Linked DNA regions of Oryzias latipes. The protein of the gene in region 3 interacts with the protein of the main gene of each other region in a pairwise test. Links are inferred from orthologs where the notes say so. Each region holds a gene or a part of one and is shown on either strand. Other genes may lie near its edges.

Region 1 (3,513 bases), on a different chromosome or scaffold from region 3:
GAAATGCCCTTCTTCAGGCCTCGGTCGCCACAGTCCAGCTGTGGGTGTCTGGCATCCTGGCTGTGCTCAGGGTGCTGATCTCTCAGTCCACCGAGGACATTGTTCTGTCCCGCGTCCACGAACTGTCCCTCTCCCCTCACTTCCTGTCCTGCCGCACCATCCGCCGCCTGCAACAGCAGGGCGCCGCCCAGTGCGAGCTTCCTGCTGCTGAAACGCTTTCCAACCAAGAAGCTAATGGAGACGCACAGAAAGCTCCACCGGAGGAGACGTTTGCTCGGTAAAGTTTCCGAGCTGAAGCACCGACATGTCTTATTTTTCTGTTTTTCCCTCTGTTGACGTGTTTTCTGCCTGGTTCTAGGTTCCTCCTTCAGCTGGTCGGCGTTTTACTCGACGACATTTCCAGCAGGCGGGTGAAGGTGGAAATCACGGAGCAGCAGCACACCTTCTACTGCCAGCAGCTGGGCACGCTGCTCATGTGTCTCATACATGTCTTCAAGAGTGGTGAGCATGATCAGCCCCCGTGGTGGAGCGTGCATTACACACCTTCAGCACCGCTACGTCTGAATCCCTCATGAACCGTTTTATGATGCAGAAACCAGCTTTGCATTGCAGATGAAAAATTCCTGTAGCCACAATAAATTTTCATCAGAGTGGATCTTTAAGGACAGCCAGGATTTAACATTACCCTCATAAAACTACTTTGACTTTCAATCCGCTTGTTGCATTTGGTCGTCCTTGCAGTTGTACTTTGGCCTTCTTTTACGCCCCTCTAAAGTTACTGCTAACTACTTGTTTGGACAGATTGCTGTGATTTGTGTTGCACTGTTCATTTGACCTTCAAATGCAAAATTTTTGTAACAAGGGGAAAAAAATCCCAACAACTTCATCTTCATTGGAGACACCAACACACTTCCTGGTCCTCAAAAGTGGCTTTTCCCTCAAATCCTAAACGATTATCAAAAAGCCAAAGGAAACGGATCCCCGCTTAGTGTTTAAGGTCAAAACTATTAAATCTGCAGCTGCAGGCAAACTCAGATCCTCCTCGACGCCTGGCGAACACTTAAAAACTTTTCAAGAAGCTCTTGTAGTTCAGTTTATGTTTTCTGTCGTGAAAACCAAAATCTGCTGTCATGAAACTCCATAAGCACTCCACTCCAGTGAAACAGCCACTTTGTACTTTACATCTGACAGGACATCTTCCTCTCTCTCCAGGCATGTTTCGCAGGATCACGGCAGCAGCCAGCCGTCTCCTGAAGGCCGAGAGCGGAGGAGGTCTGACCGGTTCCGAAGCAAACCTCTTCTACCCCTTAGAGGGGCTGAACAGCAAGGTCCAGTGCCTCATAACCACCCATCCTCCGCTGGTTCTGCTGTGGTGCCAGGTCCTCCTCATTATCAACTACACCAACTACAGCTGGTGGGCGGAGGTTCATCAAACACAGAGGTTTGAACCGACACATGCCAGAGCCCAAAAAGCCTTCAAAGCAAAATCCAGTGACATTTAGGTGTGATTATGCCTATTTCACCGCATACTATCTCATAGAAAGATTGCAATGCCTTAAATCAGAGCAATTTCTTTCTCAACCTCTTTGTGTCACCACAGGCGTTCCTCAGGGCTCTATCATTGGACCCACCCTTTTCTCAATCTACATGAACAACATAGCTTTCTATGCTATAAAAATAGTTTCAGAATAGTCACAGAATATAAATATCTTGGAATCTGGCTAGACAACGCATTATCTTTGTCACCCCACATCCACCATTTGCAGTCAAAGGTTAAGTCAAAATTCCTCTCACACCTCGGTCCCTTGTTTGGTTATAGCGATTTCATTTACAGATCAGCCACAAAGCGTTTGCTGAACATCATTCTGCCATTCCATTCATGCTCCCTTCAAAACCCACCCATGTACCCAGACCCTCAACTCTTCACTAACACAAAGCTCTCATTGGTCTTTCACCTCCTTCTTCAAGCCAGCTTTTGCACACTTCCTCCCCCATGTGCAACACCCGCTCTGCAAAACAGTCTCCTCATTGGTTTCTTACAGTCTGCACCACCCAGAGACTGGAATAATTCACGAAAATCGCTTAGAGTGGACAGTTTTAGAAGGAATCCTGACACTCGAAGGAGTCCTGACACTCATCCTGATTTTTATGCTTTTCTGTGCGTCTCCTTTCATTTCTCTTTCTCAAAAGGCCTTGCCTTTTGCCAGGCCAAAGTTCAAAATAAGTTTTTTTTTGTTGTTGTCTGTTTTGCCTGGATAAATAAAGATCAAATGAAAATATATTAAATATGAGATGTGTACAAATGTTGGTGAGTTTTTGAGGATGTGGCAGGGGTCACATGTTTTGCTCAAAGGCAAAGAAAGAAGAATCGTGAAAACAATCTGGTCCTTCCTTGCAGTCCGGGAGAGAAAAGATGGGTAAAACATCATTATGAGGTGTTTAAACACGTCTTTGCTCTGATATGTGAGCTCCTCAGTTTTTTCCTGTTTCATTCAGTTGTGCGGAAAGATTAGAAGACCGATCTTCTGCCGCAAAGAGAATTAAGAGGTTTTCTTTTTTTTAGTTCTGGGAGCTGTTCCCCATATAGGAGTTCTTTCCAGAGTTCCCAATTTTATTTTATTTATTTATATTCTATTTTTTGACAGGAGTATCAACATTCACACCACTATCACATTGTTTCTAGGTTACACATAATTTTACATCATGAATATGTTCAGTCAGTAATCCAGAATGCGTGTTCATCATTTTGTACTCTTCCCCCCCTTTTTTTTTTTAGGAACAAAGGACAGAACGGCTGTCAATCTTACTCATCCTCCAAGACAAAATCAAACTTGCATTCTTATCTGTTATCCTGTAGTAAAGAAGTATTTTACTGAAATTAAAGTAGGATCTGGTCTAAGAGGTCCAATATATTTGACCCATTTTGCCCACCATTTCTAGCCTTTAGCTGTATGCCCCTTTATTGCAAATGTCAGACTTTCCATAACATAAATGTCATGTGTAGTCTTATACCAATCATCTAATGTTGTAACATCTGGTTATAACCAATTCCCTCCCACCAGCAATATTCTCATTAAATATTGGTCTTCTGCAGACCGCATGTGTTGGATTACTGCTCCCAAATATACAGCAGAAGCATTAAAGGGGAGGGTTTTTTGAAATGTCGTCTCCAAACATCAAAGGCTTTTCTTCTTCTCCTCCTCAGACGCCACAGCCTCTCCTCCACCAAGCTACTGAGCTCCCACTCCTCTGGAGAGGGCGAAGAGGAAAGCTGCGAGTCGCGGTTAGCCGTGGTGAACAGAGAGATCGTACGCAGTGGAGCCTTAATCCTCTTCTGTGACTACGTGGTGAGGAGGCCTGACTGCACACAGAGCGTCTGAATAACGTGTGACGGTGATGTTCGAATGTTGGAAACAAGGAAAATTCTCTTGATGTTATGCTTCTACGCTCAGTGCCAGAACCTTCATGACTCGGAGCATCTGACTTGGCTGATTGTCAATCACGTGCGTGACC
Region 2 (3,969 bases), on a different chromosome or scaffold from region 3:
GAACAAAATAAGCGGTGAGTAAAAGGTGAGTATGATCAAGCCTACTAAAACAAACACGAAACGTAAATTGTTTGAATTAAGGCCAACAAATACTCTGCACCCACACAAACAAGGCTTAAAACATGTTTAGATGCATCTAAATACAATTTTTCTTGTTCCGTCTGCTTACACTCAGCTCTCACAGTTTGACAGGTTTAACTCAAACTCAAACTTTATTTATTTATATAGCGCCTTTCATTTTGGTTAAAAACACAAAGCGTTTAATCATTAGTGGAAATAAGGGGGAAATATTTGTGTCATTACACAACAGACATTGACCCCAGAAAGTAGCTCAAATGTCATCCGTTCCAAACCAACCTATCCCGCATTACTCACATTATGGATTGCACAACTTGAGGGTGTCGACTCATGCCCAGGTAGTCATTGCTGCACCAGACGGACACCTCCCTCTTGTCCTCCAAAGAGCCAGTGAAGTCGTCAGCCATCGGAAACTCCGTGGCCAGACGATTCACCGTCTTAAACACGCGGTACGTGTGATCGCTCTTCTTCTCCTCAATTTTCTTCTCAAAAAAGTCATCGTACTGGAAACGGGACACTGTGGCAAAACAGGAAGACACAATCTCAATATAGAAAGCAAGATGACAAAGCAAGATGGAAATTTTACCCAACTTTTGACACAAAACATGAATGTAAAAACTGTTTAGCAGTAGTAAACATGAGATTCAGCCACCACTTCCACTCATCTAGAAACAAGAAAAACAGAAATCCTACTTCTTCCAGGCATGTTGTCCTGAAGCAAGTGGCTGACTCTCTTAGGGCGCTGCTTCAGGAGGGTCTTCATTAGGTTTGACTGCTCCTCTGCTTTTTTGGTACTGGCCAAGGATGTCTCCTTCAACTGGGTGGATGAAACTTTAGCTAGACAGTTTAAAGAATGAAAGAATTAGTCAGCTTATATGCATTGAGGAACAACCGGCAAAAACATGAGGATTGTGGGAGAAATCTTACCTTTCTGGACGGTGCGCACTTCCTGTACATCCTCCTGGAACTCCATGGCAACCTGACGGAACACAGCGCTGTTCTTCTGCTTCATTTCAGCAGCCAGAAAGGGGCATTTTGAGGCCACGTTTTGGCCTTGAGATGGCATGGGATGGCCAGAAGGCAGTTTTGACTCCTCTTCTTGTTTAGGAGCTGCAAGAGGGAAAGATTTCCAGTTTATTTGCAGTGTTCCAGCATGATAGGGAGAATATTTTATTTGGATCCTTCTTTCTTCTTCACCTTCAACGTTATTTGAACCACTCTGCTGATGAGACGATGAGGAGCAGAGGGCCCGTGCCATGGAAGGGGCCATGGGTTTAGCAGCGAGCTCCATCATAATGGGGCATCGTTGAGCATATGTGACCAGAGACTTCTTTGTCTGCTGGAAGAAAGCCTGAGGGACACTGGCCAAAAATGGGCATCGACGCACTATCACTTCCATGGTGAATGGGACCTTCAACTGCCAGGAACTCTAAAAGAAAGATATGAGACTTCAGGAAAAATGCATAAGTACAGCAGACACCTTTGATTCACAGAGGTGTTATAAGAGTTGATAACAAAAACATAATACATATCAGGCTTCTGTTTCATTCATCGGTGAAGATAAAACAGAATAAAGTTTGATTGAGAGCAGAAATATGGAGGGGGGGGGGGGGGGCAATGCCAATAATTTCAGATGAGCTATAGTCAGAATGAATTGATGACCTTCAGGTTTCAACACAACAACCTAAAAATGTTACATTAGTGTTGTTTAATGATTATCTTTCATGGTGTTTGTATTTTTTAAGAAAAAAAATGGTGGGTTAATAAACAGCTTGTTCAGTAATAATAAAACATCTTCATCACACATCATCTCCAACTTAAGAGATGTTTTATTTTTTTTGTTTTTTGTTGTTAATTGTTCCCAACTTGATCCCTTTGATTTTTGCTCCAGGATTCATGCAATGACACCTAAAATAAATCTATTAAGATCTTATATTCACAAAAAAGTTATTAGCAACAACTTTAAATATCATTGTCAAGCCCTTCTTGGGAAATAACTTTTATGCAACACTGGACAAAACACATTCCTCGGCTTTTTTTTTTCTCCAGACAAATCTTTATTAAATAATAGTAATGCGTTGATCTCATTTAGCTGTTTTATTTCCATTACTATTGTTGTCAGCATTTTTTATAATATAAACTACAAAGAAAGACAATTATATTAACTTTAACAACGGATCTTTGGAATTGATATAAAACATTAATATAGAACAACAACAGTATGTATGTAAATATTAATAAAGCTATAGATAAAAGCCTCAGTTGCGGTTAACGAACGATTATTTTTTATTACTTAACTTAATGCCCTACGAGGAAGTTATCTAAAGGAATTAAATGTTCTACATAAATTAAATAACTACTGAGTCTGGTTAAATCTACAATATCCACAAATCAGAAACAAAATCGTAGTTCGGGAAGTGATACTGTAAAACAGTCACGATGATGATCACGACAGGCGACCTCTCGTGATCCTTGCCGGGTGACCTAGCTTAACGTTAGCCGGACTGCTAATATTAGCTAAAACGTCAGAAACGATCGATGAGGTTCAATAAAAAATGTTCAAAGACTTACCTTTTTATATGTCTGCGGAACCGCGTACTCCTTTTTGTGGTCTCAGAACCTGACAGGCTTTTCAACTGATGTAAGACCTGAAAATGTGAACTGCTTTTTTAAGATGAGATATGTAAGCGTTACCCTGCACTGAGGACGAACGATAAGGACGACTGAGCATCGGTTGTATATAGATGTCCAACTCTCGCGAGACAAGATGGCTTTTCTTTTTCACTTCCTGAAACGCTCCGCCCACATCTAAAGATAACACATATGACTCATTTTACAACAGGAAATGCAAACCTTAAATACAAATTGTATACCTGATTTTTTTTTACATACATCTATATTAATTTACTAAAGATGTTTATGCTTAAATATTTTTTTTGTTATGAAAACACGTATGTAGATTTAAAAAAAAGACAAACTATAACTTTTACTAAGACATAAAACAAAAATCAAATTCGAGTATTTTTATTTTAGAAAGCGAAAAACAGAAAACGCAAACAAGCATTACAACATCAGAGCTTAACATCAAAGGTCACTTAAGGCAATCAAAACCTTGTGTCTACAAGTCATCAGGCAGCCCATGTGAATTGCAAATCCTCAATCTCTTTTTCTGTACAGAGTGATCTTTAAATATATTTAAAGGATAAAATACTGAGATCTGTCTGTAAACATGTATAGCAATGTGTTTTGATATGCCTAATTCTCATCAGAGAGAAATTAAGATTTGGTTGTATTGTTCATTTAAATATGTTCTGACATTTACATTTGGACTAAATGTGTTCTATATTAATTGTGGTGTGGCTTTAAGTTTAAAAAAGAGCCCCCAGACACAGTTTGGCTACCGATCTTAAACTCTTGGTGTGCTGTTTCCCCCTCTCTTTTCTTCTGAAGAGAACTTGAATTCTTCCGCTACCTATTTATATTAAAAAAATGGTGATGAAGGGGATACTAGAGCATGGTCGTGGATGTATGATGTACTTCTGCACGTCTTGAAACATCTTCATCAAAGGTTTCTGATTAAATCCAAAGCCTAAGTGAAACATCCATTTAAGTATTTTTAGGCCTCTTAATCTTCAGCCCAGGTTGTCCGTCTGCTTGTGGCAGCTCACATGGTACACCGACCATGCACAAGTTCTTGATACAAAAAACAAAAAAACGTATTAGTGTTTGTCCCACACTTTGAGCAACTAGTTCCTTCTTATTTTTATTTATTGTTGGTGTTATTAAAAATAAATCAGCACAGAAATGGTTCTGGTTCCATTAAACACAAAAATGCTGTGTAGCTCATGCTCATAGCAGTTTTAGGAGGCTACGGGTGCAACACATGACTTG
Region 3 (4,305 bases):
CGTTCTGTACTGGACCTAGATACAAGACATGATGCTGTGCTGGAGCGTTTACTCGCGTCAGAGTCTCATGACTAGTCTACACCACCAAGTCAAAGTTTTTATTTCCTTTTGGCAGACATTTTTGTCCTCATGTTAATGACATAACTGCTGAGAGAGTTGGGTTTGAATGCGTTTGGTCAAGCAGACTTTGGTTCGTCTACATTTCCAGCAGACACTCAACTACAGACTAGACGGACCAGCCTTCATGTTTGAATGAAGCAAATGTTCCCCGTTTTGTCAGATTAGAAGACTGACAGAACGTTGACCTCGTGACCTTCTCTGGTACAGCACAACTGTCTTCAGATCTGGGTAAAGGTACTGTGGTGCACGTCTGCCAGGCGGTCCAGCTCGACAATGACGTCAGAGCCATCACTGCTACCAAATTAGTTGCAACTCAATCTGATGGATTTTTGTTTTTCTTTCCTGGAAAATGAAGGCTGCCATGAGTGTGTGAATGTGACTGTAAAGCACTTTGGGCCTTTGGGTAGACAAGCACTATACAAGTGTTCATCATTCACCATTTCCACAGACATGTCATTGAAGTCTAAAGAGTGAGGGATTCTGTTCTATGGTCACATTGTTCAAGACCAGCTGTGCTCTGGTTCTTAGAACCAGCCCAGAACCAACAGTCTGGTTGAGGATCTCAAACATCGGCGTCCTGGACCCTCCTTTGTACCTTGTTCAGGTTCTGCTCGATCTCCATGATGTTCCTCTCCACTTTGTCGGCGTTCTTCTGCAGCTTCTCGACCAGAACGCTCAGCTCCGTGGGGGCGGCACTTCAAGACAGACACACATGCGGATTATTTAGGCTTTTCAAGCAGCAGAGATCAGCTGGAAGCCACTTTCACGCTTCATGCCCTGCAGACCCACAGTTCAGACCACAGCCTCCAGGAGGGCGTGGCCGGGGAAGGTTACAGCTGACATGTGAAGGAATCTGGCCCTTCAGGTTGCTTCGTAATGCCACCCAGCAGACACTCCCTGTCAGGCCACACAATGAGCGTGCACGTTGACTCACAACATGCACCTCCTGTAGAAACCCACAGAACAGGTCTGTTGAGCCTGCACGTGCACGTTGTGCACGGAGCCCAACTGTCTACAGCCAAACTGACAGATCGACTAAAAACAACCCGAGTTTTTCTGCCTTCAGCGCTGAGAGGCGGCGTTAGAAGACAGAAGAACAGAGTTCTTCCACAAAGGGGCCCAATGTTTGTTGAAGACATAGCCCCCCCCCCCAAACTGCAAAAAACTTCTAGACGTCGTGAATTGAAACAAAATGAAGAACAGCCGCTGCATCCGGTTTGTTTTCTGCTGCAGGGTTGGATGAAGAACTAATGTGTTGCTTTCAAAATAAAAGCGTGTTGACTTTGAAGTCATTTGCACCGACTTAACTCCGCCAGCTGGGGGGGGGGGGGGGGGGGGGGGGGGGGGGGGGGGGCTAAAGTATACAATACATGGAGTGGCAGCAGGTTTGGTGTGGCGCTGTGAGATGACAACACGTCTGATTCCCCCACATTCCCCTGTCAGGCCGGACGGTGCGTCTCACAAACCAAACTTCAGAAATGAAAATGCTGAAGGTCACACATGTTCACACCTCCAGTCATGGATCACATGCAGGTCAAAGGGCTGAGACTGGACCTTCTGTTCTTCATGCCACCGTCGGCCAACCACACTGGTAACCATGAGGCCGTGCAGATGGCGTGCACTCGTCTGCGCCTCATGAAAAACAGACAGGGCGCCTATTGAGAAGCAGAGCGGCCCGTTCCCTCCAGCAGGTGAGCACAAACGCCGTCATTCAACGCTTGGCACTCAGAGACGAGTTTGAACAGGTGCCGAGTGCTGTGGAAGCCGCTGGCAGAACGTTTGTGTAGCTTCATCCAAGGGGGGGGGGCTCCTTTCACACAAAGCTGATCTGCCAAGGTTGATGAAGGATTCGGCGTTCCAACAGACACCAAAGGTCTGCTGAGAACCACAACCTGGTTCAGTTGCTCTCTGCTGATGGCAGAAAGGTTTGAAACCTTCCAACTCAAAGTCAGTAGCTCTAAAGCCCCCCATGCCACCCCCCACCCCATTTTCCCTCTTTTCAGGGACAGGAAGCTCCCTGTCTGGACTCTTCTGCAACGACACGCCTCCTGTTGAAGTCCTACACATTCGATGGGTCTGGGAATCGTGCAGCGGCTGAGAGCTCTGTCCTGAGAAGAGGGCGTGGCAGCAGGAGCAGGGTGGATTTCACAGGGATCCACTCCACCACAGCACGGAAAGATCCACAGGAACACTGCCTCAGTCCCTGCAGGACTTTGCTGAAGGCAAAGAAACATCTGTGTTCACATGGAACCCCTGACACAGACCCCAGAACGGGTCCATCAGCCCAGGACTCGGCAGCAGGACAGTGGATCTCCTTGGACTGCCATAAAGTCCCACTCTGGACTCCAGGAAGACATCAGAGTCCAAATGGAGAACCTTCTCTAAACACCAGAACTGCTGAACAACAGAACCCAGGAGAACATGACCTGATGACGGAGAATCACAGGATCGGCGCGCGCACCTCAGCTGTTCCTCCAGCTGCAGGAGCGTGCACGCGGCCCTCGATTCCAGAGGTTTGAACCCACAACCAGGACAAAAATCTCCCAGACTAACACGCGCAAGACTCACGTGGGTTTGGGCGGCGTGACCGCCGAGGACTTGCTCTTCTTCTTCAGCATGGCGGATCACCTGTAAGCTCCTACAACCAGCCGCTCGCGGGATCCAGGTGAGACAGAATGAGGTGCGCTGCGCTCGCGCCGCAGGTGTTGTTTGAGGGGCGTGTCTGCGCGTCCTTCACAATCAATGTCACCGAGGCGCAGGCGCGACGCGCACACCTGGCTGCCAACAGTGACAAGCCACGCCCCGAAACAACTTCAACATACCTGTAGCACCGGGACGGATGGGCGGGCAGAACACGCCTGTGCGCGCGCGCGTGCATGGATGAGGTGTGACCGTCAGGACTGTGGTCTGTCCTGTGCGCGCGCGCGTGCATGGATGAGGTGTGACCGTCAGGACTGCGGTCTGTCCTGTTTCACCTGCGGTCAGAACGCAGCAGAGATCAGAGATTCTCTGAAAGGTTTCAGCCTCACCTGAAGCCGCAGAAGGCGGGAGTTCTTTCATGGAAAAGCCTTCCGTGTCACGTGCCTGTCGCCTCTATGGGCTGTTCTGTTTTTACAGTTAAGACAAAGTGTCTGTTTTTTGGGAATTTGCTGAATTTGGTCGTGAAACCAATTTATGACATTTGAATTAAACAACAGCTTAAGGAAATGCTTTCTCTGACCTCTGACCTCCAGGAACACACCATCTCCAGCATTTACAGAGGGATGGATCTGGGAGAAAAACTCTTCTTCCCTCCTTTCCTTTTCCGTCACACAAACATTCTTCAAATATGATTAAACTGAATAAAGTTTGGCCTGGATTCCAAAAGGGGGTTTATTCAGACATACCTCTGGTTTGTCTGTAGGTTCATAACCCCTCTTGTTAAAGTAAAATATGTCCAACACAAGAGGCCCTCAGTCCTCTTCTGTCTGCCCAGCTGTTGGACAGGACAAGTTAAAAAACAAAGTGTGGGACTGTCATTAAAACAGAATGATCGGCTCCTGCCTCTTCAGTGTTACTGGAAAACAGATTCCAAGCACAGATTCTAAGGATGCAAAAGGATGATGGGATTGGTTGATCAAAAACAACCTGAAAAGGACTGAAATCCATCCGTGAAGCAGGAAGAGAAACGCCTGAAACCACAACAACTTTGTATGAAACGCTGCATGATTCTGAATTTGATTTGATTTGAAGTGTTTTATTTCAAGCAATCAAAGCAAGAATAATGACCAATCAGCAGTGATCCATTCATAGAGACGTATCAATGACCCCAAACGCAGAACGAGCTCTCATGTCTTCATAAATCCGTCTGTGGAAAGTCGACGCCGGTGCCAACCTTCAAATACCAACGGATTTCAACTGATGTGAGAAAATGAAAGCGGTTCAGCAGGACAGTCTTCCTCCTGTTCTGTTGCTGGTTGAAAGGTTTTGCCTTTGGAAACGTTCTCATGTTTCAAACAGGAGCAGTATTGTTTGTCATAGATTCCTGTTTTACATTTAGTTTTCTCTGTGGAGTTGATCATGCCTGTTACTTTTGATTTCTTTTTGCTCACAGTCCCTTCTGATTGAAGAGCTCCCGTTTCTTCCTGACATGAACTTTAAGGCTAAACTCCAAAAGTCTCCGCTCTAAAATGTCAGAGAACTAGT
Region 4 (3,890 bases), on a different chromosome or scaffold from region 3:
AGGACGACGGTGGTGGCGGCGGCGGCGGTCACCGTCACGTGTCGGTTTTCTCAGCTGATTTCCTGTCTCTCCCCCCCTTCAGGGTTCGACGCCAGCATCGGAAAGGTGGTGAGCTCCGAATCCGCCACAACGCAGCGGATCTGCGGGAAGCCCATCCTGGACAACAATGCCGTCAACCTGTTCTCCAGCGTCCTCATCGCCCTCTTCCTGCCCGGGATGGCGTGGGGGGCGTGGCCTCGATAGATGAGCGCCTCACTAAAGACTGTAGGTTCTGATTAGAAGACGAATCTGCTCAATCACGTTAGGAAAACCGAATTTAATGAGGAGCGTCGCCGGGACAAGAAGCTCCTCCTCCTCCTCTGTGCTGGTTACCATGGTGATCATGTTTTACCAGAAACTCTATGGGAGGTGGAATAGTCTAATAAAGTTTACAGTTGGTTCTTCGTGACTTTGATTTTTTTTTTTTTCCTGAAAAGAAACCAGCGGCAAACAGACGGCGCAGAGAGCGGCGAGTTTCCAGAGGTATTCCTGTTTTTATTTCAGAGTGTCTGAGAGAAAAGGCACTGAACCAAACCGGAAAGGGGGCGGGGCTTCACATTCACACCACCAACTAGGAAAGCCGTCGGCATGCGGCGTCTCTGCAGAGCCGTCAGTTCCCAGCGGCCTCAGGAGCAGAGCGTCATCCGCTCTGCAGAGATCATAAGCAACCCGGAAGCAAAACGGCGTTCCACGGAAAACTAAACTCCAGCAGACTTCCTAGGAGAAACGCCTTTCAAGAAAAACAATAAAATCAAGCCTGTGACTTTTTCAAATAGTTAAAAAATGCAAAAATTGTGACATTTTCTGATGTTTCAGTGCCGTTTGGTGGAACTCCAGTTTCATGTTAAACATTTGTACACAAATTGATTGTTTCTGCAGCATTTTGTGGGATTTTTTTTGCTAAATTTTGTGGAAAATGACTAAAATTTGACCAAAAAAATGAAAGTTTTCAACACAAAACCATTTTAAATTAAAGGTGAATTTTAACAAACTAAAAAATTAGAAAAATTATTTAGAATTTTACTTGTCAATGACATTAAAAACAATAAAATAATAAAAACTTGACTGAATTTACGTGGTGGGATCAATATTTAGATCTTAAATGTAATTACAATGTTTAAATTAAAACGTATTAATTCCACAACTTTCATAGTAATTTTATTACAATTTCATGCTTTTATGTAATCTTTTTGCTTTCAAACTAAATATTTTTGCATGAAATTGAAGCCAAATATTTCTGATTTTTTCATTTGTGTTTATGACTTTAAAGTTACTTGGTCTTTTTTTATAGATTTTAAATAATTAAAAATATTTTATTGATGCTCTAAGAAAATACTGATCTCCACAGAAGAGTCAGAATCTCCAACTCTTCAGGGGTTTTTTCTTGACGCCGTTTTTCTTCATTGAACGGAGTCGAAAAAGAAGATGAAGGTTCTGGATCAGAGACCACGGCCGGCCAGAGGGGGCGCTGTCTGTCAGTCTGTACAAACACACTCACGCACGGGGAGGGGGGAGGACGGGTGGTGGTGCTTCAGGACGACAGGAGGAGGGGGGGCGGGGGCAGAACCGGGAGGAGGGCGGAGCATCAGGTGGGAGTGTGCGGCGCCGTCCGCTCACAGCTGGTCCCTGAAATAGCCGAGCTTGGCGAAGGACATCTCCCTGCGCAGCTGCATCACCTCCCAGAACATCTGCTCCACTGCAGACACAGAACCCGCAGAGCCTCCGTCACAAGCGCTCAGAACCTCTCCAGCCCACATTTACATTCTGGACTCGGCCTCACCGTCCTGCTGCTTGACCAGCCCTTGTTGGATGTAGCGAATGTAGGTGAAGAAGTTGCAGACGGCTGTGATCTGAGGAGAAACAAACTTCTCAGGTGAGTTGATGATCCTAGGCTACGTTCACACTGCAGGCTGAAACGACCCAATTCCGATTTTTTTGCCCCTAAGCGGCCCAATTCCGATCTTTTCATGACAGTCTGAATGACACAGATCCGATCTTTTCAATTGCGACCCAGGCCCCGTGGATTTGCCGTCCTGATTCCGAATTGTAGCCGTTCTTTTCAATTGCGACCGCCGTCTGACCGGCCAGGCGACTTAATTCCGAACTGTACGTCATCGACACGCAACAAACGTCATCATTTTGCGTTGAAGTAGGCGGGAACGAGAACGTAAACATCAACCATGGTGGACGATGCTGCTGAGATCAGTCAGTGGAAGGGAAGCGAGATCCCCGATTGGATTAATATTTGGGCTGATCGCTCTTTTCAGGCCAAACTCCAGGGCTTTTATTGCAACTGGGCGGTTTTTGTAAAAAATTCCAGCTAAATGGCAGAGCGTGGTGTTGAACCTTTCCCGCGATTACTTTTTTTTTCTTTCTCCCCTTTGACCGTGCTCAAGCGCAGGGGACCCGAGGCGATCCTCCTCCTCCCTGTTCTGATCCTTAGATTCTCCAGAACAGCTTAATAAAGAGTCCATAGCATTTATTCTGGGGGAAACCTTTTATTACCGTCCTCCGTAACACACAACATGAATGCGCGCCCACACTGCCCCCCCCCCCCATATTCTCTATCGCGTCACGCGCTTGCACGCACACACACACACGCGGGGGCGCGGCCCCAACACATACACATTCCTCTTCCACTACAGTGGGTACAGACGATCCCGACTCCATTGCCTTCTTAAAATGAGAAGATTGTAATTGTGCTGCTCCTTCGTGAAAATAAATGTAATATTACAAAAAGAGCTCCGCTTTTGACAACACTGTTGTTGACATCCATTGTTAACGTTGGCTCCGCAAACAACAAGTGACGTCGTTCACCGTTGAGTATTCTTCTGGCTTCTGCGCATGCGGGTCTCGTTTGGGTCGTGTCACGGTCACACTGGAGATCACAAAAGTTCGGATTTACTTGGAAGCGTGAACGGTCTAGCAAACAATTCGGATTTTTTCAAAAAATCCGAATTGAGCATTAAGCCCTGCAGTGTGAACGTAGCCCTAAATGCTTTGATATGTGCAGCTCTCCTACGCCCCCTGGTGGAAGATTCTGAGTCCTGCAACGCTCACATCCACTTCAGCTTCAACCTGTTTGCAGATGAAGCTGTTCGTTCCTCGTTTCTGATGAAACCGACAGCCCAAAAGCCCGGTTCTGTTCTGTCCCGTCTCTGTCTGAGGATGTGGGGTTTCTTCTGCATCACCACGTTCAGAACATTTTACTTTTAAAACAACGACTCAGAGATGAGGACGGACGTAAAGCAGCAGAGGCTCAGACATCGGAGCCTACAGACTCCATTAGAGCAGCTGAGATGTTACGTTAAAAAAATAAGAAACTGCACCTTAGAGGAGGAATGAACGACAAACAACACGCGTCTCAGAGGAGGAACGACGGCGCCCAAAAAAGGACGCAATGAGGAGGAATAAAGCTGCCTAAGAGGAGATACAACATGCGACTCAAAGGGGGAACAAAGGCGTTTTAGGGGAGCAATAAAGAAGTCTCTGAGGAGGAACGACGGCGACCAATAGGGACGCTAAGAGGAGGAATGAAGGCACCTAACAGGAGGAACGACGGCGCCTTAGAGGAGTCCCAAAGCAGCTGTGAGGTAAACCAAAGTGTAGTTTGTGTTTGTACTCACTTTGTATCTACAGAAGGGGGAGACGTAGTAATAGCTGGACGAGTCTCCAAACTTGATTCTGTGCTTGCAGGTTTTGGTCTGACCACTCAGGGCACATTTTCTGTCAGAGATCAGAGAAGGAAAACCGTTTAGTTTCAGGAGAACGTGAACTGAACCCGCTCATCAACCAACACCAGGAAAAGTACGAGTCGAGGAGAAGAGGAATCTCTGTCAGGTTGGCCTGCA
Region 5 (4,109 bases), on a different chromosome or scaffold from region 3:
AGATCTGCCTGGCTAACCTCATCCAGCTTATTTGACATCAACAGGAAGTGAATGTGACTCGACAGCCTACGAGTCATATCAGAACTGCCCCGGGGCTTGATAACATCTGTCATTTAATATCTGATGAGCGCGTCTGTTATTGCAGCTTCATTCTCACTTCCATCATTGACTAAACCTTCGAAGTCTCTTGAAGCCGCCGCTTGTGTTTACTGCACAGTGGCTGGTGTTGTCCCACACAGCCACCGTGTGAAGCACTGCGCACGTGGATTTGTAAAAAGCACACAGACAGAGCGCAGTTAATCACTCTAGCAGTTGGGATCACGTCAGCATCTTAAGGCGGACTCTGTGACACCGGCATGCGTGCTTTCATACCTTCATACAGACCGGGAGCCGTCGCACAAACCAAAATGGCGACACTGCACACAAGTCTGACTCTGGAGCCACAACAGAGATCTGGCTGTTTTTAAACCGGGAGCGACCTGTCGCTGCTGCGGCTCTGCTGTGTGGAAAAGCTGGGCTGCAGCCAGCAGCCACTGAATGAACCCAGTACCCTGACAGCGGGTCACATGATCTGCAGTCCGGTGGGCCACCGCCTGCCTGGCTGCCCTGATGTCAGAGACGCTTTCAATCATTCATTTTTCTATCTAAACCTTTGCAGGGAGAGGGGGGGGGGGGGGGGGGACCCCTTTCAATACTAATCAGTGCTATGAAGCAAAAGATGTCAAATAGTTTGCTTGTGACTGGGAGGACAGAGACAACCGTCCCATGTGTTAGAGGCAGGAAGCAAAAAAGAAAAAACAAGCAGTCATCAAGACACCACCAAATTCACTCCAAATCAATAGATTCAAATCTGGTTTTCCTCATTTTTCTGTTTCCGTTTTAGTAAGCAAAACCTGGCAGCTGGTTTGTGGTTACACAGGTAGAACAGTACTCTTTTTTGAAATCATTACAAGAAAGACGAGATCAAACATTCTCCCCTGATCCTGGCAAAAGAAAACATTGAGGCAATGCTTGGTGTGCTTTAAATGCCACAATAGGAACAGGCATTGGTGTGATCTACTACACCGTACAGCGTTCCTCTTTTAGGTTCCTTAAAAAAATAACATCACCAATAATAATAATATTAAGGCTAAGTGGAGTAGTTGTTACTAAATACCAAACCACAGTAGGAGCAATCTTGACAAGCAAGAAGCTTAATCCTGTGATGACATGAACAGCAAACCCTTTATGACTCCCAGAACTGTTTTCACTTTCAGGCTGTCCAGACAGGCTGTGCAGAAGTGTACAGATGCAGCTCAGAGCTCAACTTTGAGCTCTTCTCTGATGTGATTGTTTTTGTTTTTTTGTTTTTTCCATCAAACGATGGAGAAGCCAATTTGAAGGCAACCTGACTCACCTGCGCAACAGCCTGGACCATCTGGGAGTCTCTTTTGCAGAAACCAAACGTTTCAAGCAACAACCCTCTGATCCAGCATGCAACCGGTGGCACATTTGCGTCAATGAAGCTGCGAGGGCATTGGGTGGGAGGCTGCTGGTATTTTCTAAATAAAACAGGGAGAGCCCAGCAGTCACTGGCTGCATCACCACGCCAGCTTGTTGCGTCCTCTCCGGGGGTCACATGTCGCGTCCCCTTGTGTACACAAACTGAGGCAATGCAATCTCATGACCAACAAAACAACTTTGACACTCAAGAGAACAGCCCGCCTGGGGACAATGTTCTGGAAACTTCCAGAGACGGAAGTCAAACATGATTTCACACTTCCATGAAGGCTGTCCTGTTCCCATGTGCAGCACCTCCACATCTATAAGACTGCTGGGGAGGAAAAAAAAGAAAAGAAAATAAACTACCTTTGGCTAAATGGGATGCTTTTAGTAACAGTCATCGCTGTAGGTGGAATAATGACAGTGAGGGCAGTAGAAACCATAAAAACAAGCATTATGTCATTGAACTGATTACTGGAGAGGAAAACATGAAAATAACAGTTGAGGCCTCTCCTTGAGACCTCCCTGGTGTCCGAAAGCCAGAGGCCAAAAAACATAAAATGACTGAAAGGACACGTTTTCAAGAGTGCAGGGTGACAATTCCCAGCAAAGATTTGTTGACAGTGATAGAAACAAACCTTTAATAGCTGAAGCTGAAATGTGTGGCAGCATTTCTGAGCTCAAGAAGAAGAAGCAGTAAACAAAGTGCTAATAGATAACAATGAATGAGCTGCTCTGTCTATTATTGAGCATTTAGTTTGGACTCAACTTTTTTTATTTATTCTTTTATTTCTTTAAGGCCCAATTACGTCAATATTTTCCGTGAGTCTTCACAAAGAAACGAAAAATGAATGATTAGCGTCTGAAAAAAGTGTCTTTCTGCGGTTGGTGCAAAACCACAACGAGTTCATAAGCCCTAAACTGGAACGCGGCGATTCTACGGCGACAAAAAAGAGCCATAAAAGTGTCTCATTTCGGGGGTTTTCACTTCGCAATGGATAAAAAAAGGATATGGGGCCTAGCAGGGCAGCTTGGGTGAGAATAACCGCATCCCATGTAAGTACAATGGGGACCTACCCTGTCTGGCTGTCGGCCTCTTGCAGTTTAACCACGCGACGGAAAACGCGGCCGTTTACCTGTGCGGGAACTCAACAGCGTGTCCGTCTCATTACAGTGGGCCGTTTCGGCGGTATTTTGAGTTGGTAAGTCCTTCAACAATGTGCACAGAAGTCTCTCATTTACTCCGTTTCTCTTGCCTTTCTTCCACTACACCTCCCAAACGCGCTGTCTGCAATGCCTCTGTGGCGGCCCGGCTCTCCCGGGTCCTAGCGCTGGTCTTTTATCAGCTCCACAAGACGAGCCGTTGGATCTCTGCTGTCCCGTTTGGGAGAAATGATTTTTTTTTTTTTTAATGGAGCGGGTCTGCGAGGTCTGGATGCACTTGATGAACTCCTCTGTGTTCTATCTGGTGGTGAAGCGGGTGTTTGGACCCCCAGAGGTCCCGCTAATGTTTGAAGGGGTCCTTCCTGCAATGAATGACTTGATTCACTTCATGGAACATGAGATTCTGTTCAAGATTGATTTACTGTAGGAAGTCAGTGGTGATTCATTTTTGTTAATTTGCTGTGGCTGTAATCTTTGCTGGTATGATCACTCAGAGAAAACAACAGGTCCAGGGCAGAAGTGAAAGTGCAGAATTTGAAGGATGATTGTCAAAAGAAAATAGGATGAGGAGGAAGGAGGCTGAGAGGAAGATGCTGAGAGTCTTTGTCACAGAATAAACATGAAAAAAGCACACGTTGGAAAAAGTGAATCAAAAATAAATGCATGAATGTCACCAAATAAATAAGTTTTTGTCTCAATTTTGTGTGTGTGTGTGTTTGTTTTTTATTTTTATTTTTTATAGCAAATATAAAGCAGTTGGATAGGACGATTAAACAAATATAAAGCTGGTTGGAACAAATAATGTGTTTTTTGTTAAAATACGTATAAATCAGTAAAGACTTTAAATGTCAAGAATGATAAATATGCAAGGCTTGGTGTGGAAAAAACTTGATCTTTCCAGTAAAATATATAAAAAAAGGTACATTTTATTTATGCCCCTTATTTTCATGCACTACACATAAGTATTTACTTTTATTACATACAGTATACATTTTTTGACACTTTTTCAATATTATTATCATTCTAAAAGAGGGGTTATGCTTTTATTGTGGGAACTCTGGTCACTTAGTATCACAATGCACCATCCGTTTAAACTCCAGTACCCCCTGTTAGATGACTGGCCACGGGGGGATAATTCTGAAAACTCCAAAGAAAATAAATTTATTTTTGTTCCTGTAGAATCTCTCCCCAATTTTCATTCACGAATATAGGGCTCTTATTGACTCTGGCGCTGAACACAGCCTCATCGATCAGCATCTCCTTAAACAACTCACGTTACCCACCGGGCCACTCGACTCTCCAACGCTGCCGGGTTAGGTGGTCAACAACTTTCCCGGATCACGAATCGTTCCAAACTTATTCTCATTCTCACCTCCGGTAACCATAGAGAATATCATAGATTTTTTTTTTACTCAATTTCCTCAGACCCTTATAATTCTGGGGTGCTCCTTGCTCCAACTTCA

The links.
Region 1: the proteins of ppl (region 3) and htt interact in binary tests that used the Homo sapiens proteins (3 or more experiments, as listed by UniProt). The link is inferred for Oryzias latipes from reciprocal best matches to the Homo sapiens genes PPL and HTT.
Region 2: the proteins of ppl (region 3) and alas1 interact in binary tests that used the Homo sapiens proteins (3 or more experiments, as listed by UniProt). The two-hybrid records come from large-scale screens. The link is inferred for Oryzias latipes from reciprocal best matches to the Homo sapiens genes PPL and ALAS1.
Region 4: the proteins of ppl (region 3) and rab3ip interact in binary tests that used the Homo sapiens proteins (3 or more experiments, as listed by UniProt). The two-hybrid records come from large-scale screens. The link is inferred for Oryzias latipes from reciprocal best matches to the Homo sapiens genes PPL and RAB3IP.
Region 5: the proteins of ppl (region 3) and akt1 interact in a two-hybrid assay, tested with the Homo sapiens proteins (2 studies listed by BioGRID and IntAct). The link is inferred for Oryzias latipes from reciprocal best matches to the Homo sapiens genes PPL and AKT1.

Annotation. Positions count from the first base shown.
Region 1 is NC_019859.2:35,176,543-35,180,055, reverse strand, and holds part of htt (huntingtin), read left to right. Parts: intron 1-17; coding exon 18-277; intron 278-358; coding exon 359-501; intron 502-1,212; coding exon 1,213-1,441; intron 1,442-3,205; coding exon 3,206-3,347; intron 3,348-3,452; coding exon 3,453-3,513.
Region 2 is NC_019863.2:10,038,775-10,042,743, forward strand, and holds the start of alas1 (5-aminolevulinate synthase, nonspecific, mitochondrial), read right to left. Parts: upstream 2,813-3,969; 5' UTR 2,650-2,812; intron 1,508-2,649; 5' UTR 1,478-1,507; coding exon 1,006-1,477; intron 916-1,005; coding exon 772-915; intron 596-771; coding exon 376-595; intron 1-375.
Region 3 is NC_019866.2:25,742,629-25,746,933, reverse strand, and holds the start of ppl (periplakin), read right to left. Parts: upstream 2,814-4,305; 5' UTR 2,739-2,813; coding exon 2,689-2,738; intron 816-2,688; coding exon 716-815; intron 1-715. UniProt on the Homo sapiens protein: Component of the cornified envelope of keratinocytes. May link the cornified envelope to desmosomes and intermediate filaments. May act as a localization signal in PKB/AKT-mediated signaling.
Region 4 is NC_019881.2:22,284,546-22,288,435, reverse strand, and holds the end of rab3ip (rab-3A-interacting protein), read right to left. Parts: intron 3,766-3,890; coding exon 3,666-3,765; intron 1,890-3,665; coding exon 1,820-1,889; intron 1,736-1,819; coding exon 1,653-1,735; 3' UTR 513-1,652; downstream 1-512. Other genes in the region: tmem19 (transmembrane protein 19), read left to right, coding at 83-243. UniProt on the Homo sapiens protein: Guanine nucleotide exchange factor (GEF) which may activate RAB8A and RAB8B. Promotes the exchange of GDP to GTP, converting inactive GDP-bound Rab proteins into their active GTP-bound form.
Region 5 is NC_019880.2:14,666,926-14,671,034, reverse strand, and holds the start of akt1 (RAC-alpha serine/threonine-protein kinase), read right to left. Parts: upstream 2,813-4,109; 5' UTR 2,560-2,812; intron 1-2,559. UniProt on the Homo sapiens protein: AKT1 is one of 3 closely related serine/threonine-protein kinases (AKT1, AKT2 and AKT3) called the AKT kinase, and which regulate many processes including metabolism, proliferation, cell survival, growth and angiogenesis.